2 linked regions of the Caenorhabditis elegans genome follow. The protein of the gene in region 1 interacts with the protein of each later gene in a pairwise test. Each region holds a gene or a part of one and is shown on either strand. Other genes may lie near its edges.

Region 1 (2,792 bases):
CTAGGATTAAACCGTTTGGTGAATCAAAACATGGAGACTGTATATAAGCTCATGGAAAGGAACCGATCAGCAAGTTATCTTGAATTTTAAATCATGTTCGGCTTCCTTTGCAATCTCATTGTTCTCCTCGGCCTTATTGCTATGGCCACTGCACAAATCGGACTCAACACTGGATTGGGACTCGGACCAGCTGGAGGAAGTAAGTTATCTTATAAGAGTTGGTGCAATTTAAGACTAATTTCCAGATATGTATGGAAATGGATATGGAAACCAAGGAGCCTACGGAAATGCCGGTGTTGGAGTCAATCCAGGTGTTGGAGGAGGACTTGTTGGAGGACTTTTGGGATAACTTGTTTTCGGTTTTTTTTTTTGAAATTTGAAATGTATTAATTGTGAATATGCAATACAAATATTTATTAAACATGAAAAACAGTAATACAGTTACGATAAACACAATACGATATACATACATTTAGTTAAAAATTAAAAGACAGCCAAACAATCAATATATGTATTATTGATTTCAGAAAATTTTCAATTGGGCTTCAAATTTTAATTATTAAGACCTTAATTATTAAAATCTCTAATTTTCTTCTGGTTGAGTAAACATTTGGAAATAACGACCTTCATCAGAGAATGTTATAATCGCTAGAGTTTCTTCGTTTCCCTGAACTACATAAACTTCTTGAGCTGCAATATTTTCTTGGGCATTCAATTCAAACTCTAGAACTGTCGTCTCATATTTCAAACCAGCTAGTAGTCTATTTATGAATGGTCGTAGATGGCGGTTTAGTTCTGTTGATATTCTCGCCGAAAAATGTTTCAATAAAGGGTTGGACCCGTTCATCCAGTGCTTTATGAATAAGTTCAGTACGTTTGGAGTCAGTATGCATTTGACTCGTAAAATACAACAATTGATGATCAATAAATCATTAAGAGTTAGAGGATAGTTGGATGGGATTTCAAGAATTTTAAGATTGTGTTGAAAGGTTTCTTGAACTTCTTGATAAGTTTGAATTGAATTGTCGGGTAATGGATACCCTTTAAAGACGATTTGCTCAGCATTTGATTTCAGCATTTTCAGATTTGAAGTACTCCTTTTAAATGGTTTTAAGTGAAGACATTGGAATTCCAATCCGTGCAGCTCTTTTTGTATCCACCGAAAACTGTTCTTGTTGAGGTAGACCTCATCAACCACTCGTTGATGGAATATACAAATGTATCACAAATTCATTCACCTTCAATTTCGGATTAACTCATCGGAATTGAGTTGGAGTGCATTTGCTGACGGTTGGCAGTACACCATTCAAAAATGAATGTGGGTTATTAAACATTCCCGCAAAAATACGATCACGGTTTGATGGATCTGTGAAAACGAAGGATTTTTGAGTTTCCAGACGTGAAGGAGAGACAGATTCTGAAAATAAATCATGTTCTAAAAATAACAAAAACCATTTTTTATTTGCATAGATAATTTTTTACTGGCATTTTCTGTCAAAAAGGTTACTCAAAATTTTTTAATTAGTCGAATTAACGAATCTAGACTTGTTTACCAAATAATTTAAAATTACAGTTCATCGTTTTGGATTTAATTTCGAACTCACAAAGATAACAGATCCATCGATTTCAAAGCATTTCTCAGCTGTCTAGGTGGTAGATTCAAGATTTGAAAAGGAACTTTATCCATTTGGGATAATTCAAATTATAGTAGAAATGCTAAACGATGAGAAGAGCAAGGAAGGGGCTAGCCGCCTGACAGGCAAGTTGACTCGCGGCAGGTATCCTGCGGAAGCGAGCCACGAGGAAATAGTGTTAAGCGATGAAGAGACCCATACATTGTTAGCTAATATATTCGGCTATTCAAATTTTCCGAAAATCTTGTCCTGGATGCGGGAATGAGAAAATATTCCGTTCTCGCAATTTTTGTATTTGTATATGAATTTTGTATAGTTACACAACAATTTTAGTCAGAACAATGATATTCCTCGGGATCATGTGAAACAAACTGGTCTCGTCAAACGTTGAAATTAATGTTTGTTGCCATCTTGTTTAATACTTTACTTTCCTTTTTCCAATTTTCCCCAACACAACACAAAAATCACCTGCTCACCCTCTCTCAATCTCTCAAATTTTCTCTCTCAACTTTTCTTATTTTCCCACCATTCTTCATATCTTCTTGGAATGACACGTGTTTTTGGTTGATGTCCTAAAAATGCCGCTCTCCATAAATCTAAGTCTACTCCCAATAAGTCATTTGATATTTATTCCGATATGCTGGTTTTCTGTGTTTTTGTACCTGCGGGTTTTGTATATTATTCACCAATTAAGAAAAAATGTTTTCAAATCGTCGTTTTTCTTGATTATCAGGATGCATGTAAGTTGAGAGGTTTCTTCTTGGGACAGTGCCTTAGAATCATGCTGCATCGGTCCATTTTCCCATTGAGCAAATTTAAAAAACCCCTAGAATTTTAGGCTATCACGGACCTCCTTATGTTCCTATACGTGGAGCTGGTTGCTCGCCCACGCAAATACCGAGTTCATAACCTATTCGAAGCAGCAAACGATCATTGGATTCCTCAGCTGTTGTGGTTTTCATTGACAGTTATCAAAAATGCCATGTTCCTAGGGTATACGGTAGTTGCCGTCAATCGGTGCTCCGAGATATTTCGGTTTAGGAATCATGTAAAGGTACATTTCGGCTTTATGAGAAATTGGTGTAATTTTCTGTGAACTTTTAATAGAATTTTCCATATATATTGGTCAAATGTTGAGCTCTTTAGGTCAATGTCCTG
Region 2 (3,836 bases), on another chromosome or scaffold:
AGAGCTGCCGCATGAGAGAAGGTCTTCCAGGGTGAATAGAAGAGTTGGCTTAAGAACTAGTCTGTCGAGGTTCTGAATGAAAACTTTCTGATAATCCTGTGAGTCTTTGTACAGACAGTTTCGAATTAGAACTTGATTCGCAGATGGTAAGTTTGCCCAGAAAAGCTTCGAAGTCAGATCATCAAATCTTGGGGTTGCCGATGAAAAATCAGCAGCTAAAAGCCGTCAATCCCCTCCAGAACCCTTGTTAGACCTTCAATGTCTAAATTCCCAGAGTCCAAGGGAGTTTTTAGACTAAAATCGATCCTCTGAATCGCCAGCACATCCATCAAGAATTCGAGCCAAGATCTCATGGTTTTCCGGGTGAACACATTCACATGGTGACCGTGCATTGATATTTTTACAAACTGAGGAATGTCAAAACTTGGCACAAAGCATCGGCATTTATTGTAGAACTTCAACCATACTCGTTTATTCCCAAATTTCATCTTGAAATTGAAACCTTTTGCAAAATTGAACCCACTCGAGTCGACTTTCAGGTGGAGTGATTTCACGATTTCTTTGGTGGCGTCGGAGCATAAGGAGAAGGCGAGTCTGGAAGTGAATAAGGTTTTAATAAGTTGGAGAAATTGTTAAATCTCATATTTTCCTGAAAAAATATAACGGAAAAATGTGTCAACTGAAAAACGTGACCTGAAAGCTTGCTAAATTTTTTTTTTCAAAAAAAAAAAAAATCAAATTTGACATAAACTCACAAATGCACAATTTCCATACTGCGAAGCACATTTATCCTTGATTTTTCCGGTAGTCGGAGTATAGGAAAAGGAAGGGGCTCACCGGCATTCATGGCAGTTTACGGAGCAAAATGAGCACACTACGAGGCTCGGGAAGCAATTAGGGGGAGGTGAGGTATTAGCCAGGTGGCTCAGGCCATCTGCCGTTTAGCTTGTTTCAAATACCAAAAGCATTCAGGGGATTCGACATAATTCGATGTGATGAATGTGAGGTAAATGTGGAACAACACTGATTTGGGTACTTTAGGGTAGGATTAACCACCAAAAGGGTCTTGGCTCCGATCAGGGGTGTGCGGAAAATCTCAAAATTTGCCGAGCTCGACAAACGGCAAATTCGGCAAATTTGCCGCACACCCCTGCCTCCGACTGGGTTGTAAATGGGTACCTTTGGCGAAAATTGACATAACTTTAGAACCTGATTAGCTACAAAAAATTAAAATATATTTCTTGAAAGTTAAATTAATGGGAACATTTTTGGTAATATTATCAAAAAAAAAATTATATTTTTTCTTTGAGATATAACAGTTTCAATATGTAAAACTACTGTTTTCAACTGAAAAACGCCAATTTTACTTCAATATTTTAAAGTTCTCAGTAGGAATCGTAAGTTTTTATGTTGTTTTTGATATGGAAAATAACATGATCTTATTTTATTTTTCTAAGTTTCATCAAAATTGGAAGCGAAAATTTTTTTTGAGAAAATTCACCAAAAATATATTTTGAAAAATTATTTCAAAAGCTTGCTATATGATTAGAAAAGCCAAAAAGAAATCAAAGAAATTTAGTACTAAATCAAAAAGTCTTGACAAAATTAAAAATTTCCAAAGAAAACTATAATCACAGATAATTTAAAGTGCATCAGAAAAGGATTTCTACCATGTTCTGTTAAAAATTAACAAAAAACCAAAAGTAAGAGGTGCACATTTACATCCCGTGTAGATCCTTTGACTTTTCAGTTTTCTCCAAACTGTTCAGGGACGACTGGTTTCTCGGAGCGAATTCTCAGTTCGATAAGAAATTCAGCAGATTGATTTGAACACATAGATTCGTTGCGGGAAAAGAGCCTTCCACCTTCCCAAGATTTCCAGCAACCTTTCCCATCTGCGCACAGTTTGTATCGATCTGCAACACCGTGTGCGCGCATAAATTGCCTAGGCTACTCTCACTCTACATTTTTGTGGGCCCCTACAATCATCTTTTTTGTTTTCTCTTCTGCTTTCTTTGTCTATTCTTGTATCCTTGCATCTTTCCAGAATTTACCGAAACAATGGACAATATTGTTACTCAAAATATTAAATTTGAAAGCGAACCAAATTACTACCTAAGAGGTTACCACCTCTTTGATATCAGTCCTTTGAACGGATTAAAATGGTAAGAAAAATGTTATTGAACGACAGATGAAACAGTATTTTTTTAGTGAGATAACTGATGAATTCGAGACTGACAAGATTCACCTGAAAATAAAGCTGGATTGGGATCAGCAAGAAATAAAGAAGATCACTGGTTTCATCCAATTGTCGTATGATGGGCATCAACTGAAGCCTATTGATTCGAACTTTGACAAACGAGGAGGAATCTGTATAATGACAGTCCCAAAATACATTAATGCATACCGCTGGTCGTTTTCGTTTGATCTAAAACTCCATCGCTACCCAGCCAAGCCACCTCAGATTTCTCATGACCTCAATCCTCAGGTCAGGTCTTATGACACAATGTTCGAGCCGTCCAGGAAGCACGATGCGGTGCTCTTAATCGGAGAGAAGAAGCTTCATGTGAACAAGGCTGTAAGTTTTAATTTGGAATCTTGCTAAGCTAAGCTTGAAAATTTCAGTTCCTCTCCTACCACTCCGACTATTTCTGTGATCTATTTGCTGAGAAATTCGATGAGAAAAACGGGATCCCCATCGAAAACGTGACCTATGAGAATTTCGGACTTCTCATGAGTATTATCTACCCTGAAGCGGCTTTCTCGAATCGTGAGTTATTCCTGATCCCTTCCAGCAACCAACTAATCTCAATTTTCAGATCAAAACGCTGAAGTCCTTCTCGAGCTGGGAAATCGTTTCAAGATCCCAGCAGTGATGCGCCACGTGGAAAATCAAATCATTCGAGACACCAAGTTCCCAAATGAACGGTTGATTTTTCTGGCAGACAAATACGAACTTCAAAAGCTATTGGCTATGGAAATCCAGAAGATGGAAAGCTTCGATCAGGCTAAGAAGTTCAAAGGATCTGATGATTACTCGCAGTTATCGGATGCGACAAAAGCCAAGATCTTGGATCGACTCATTGAGTTATCTTGATTTTTTCTTCAAGACCTGATTTGATTCTTGGAAATAAATCATTCTGTTATGTTTTTTTGAATTATTAGGTTCTTCAATTGGGCGTACATGACTTTTACAGGGCGATAATAATTGCGCGCAAACGGGAACGTGAGCGGCAGGGTTAAGCTTCTCAATAAGCATTGGTACATGATTTTATAGATCATTTTGACAAGGCAATCATGAGTTGCAAACTCGAGCAAGTCGACCAGCTCAAAAAATAGGCTCAGCACCCGGTGTACTGAGCCCCGATCTGAAAAACCAACAAGTTCTTAAAACCAGACACAGCGAAATGGGCAAAAAAAAAACGACTGGGCTTCACAGTTTGGCTATAAACAATTGAAATTTTCTTGGTTATGAGGAAACCCTCTCATCTCTTGTTTCCGTAAAAAAATTATTACATAGAATATAAACATTTATTATTTAATTTTACAAATAAAAAGAGCTCTTCTGACGCCATAAAATGAGTTTAAATTGGAACAATTGCAAGGAGAATTACTCTCCAACCATGTAGAGCATATACCACTTGGCATAAAAGAGATTGACAACAGTCAGTTGTCCATGCCAATTGAAGGTTCCTGGACCCTTACGAGCCCCATTTTTTTTCGTCCATCTGACAGCCACATCTCTGGAAGTAACCGCCAAAAAGTACGAGCATCCCTTGAACTCGTTCTTCGCAGATGAGATCACTGCCGATCGAAGGTACTCTTTCATAAGAGTT

The links. The genes of interacting proteins can lie anywhere in the genome.
Region 2: the proteins of F15E6.5 (region 1) and btb-10 interact in a two-hybrid assay, tested with the Caenorhabditis elegans proteins (one large-scale study listed by BioGRID).

What each region holds. Positions count from the first base shown.
Region 1 is NC_003282.8:4,287,853-4,290,644, reverse strand, and holds F15E6.5 (F-box associated domain-containing protein), read right to left. Parts: upstream 1,079-2,792; coding exon 584-1,078; downstream 1-583. Other genes in the region: dct-7 (DAF-16/FOXO Controlled, germline Tumor affecting), read left to right, coding at 94-199, 246-349; srv-4 (Serpentine Receptor, class T), read left to right, coding at 2,213-2,374, 2,473-2,688.
Region 2 is NC_003280.10:1,058,974-1,062,809, reverse strand, and holds btb-10 (BTB domain-containing protein), read left to right. Parts: upstream 1-2,007; 5' UTR 2,008-2,061; coding exon 2,062-2,165; intron 2,166-2,211; coding exon 2,212-2,578; intron 2,579-2,625; coding exon 2,626-2,770; intron 2,771-2,819; coding exon 2,820-3,097; 3' UTR 3,098-3,148; downstream 3,149-3,836.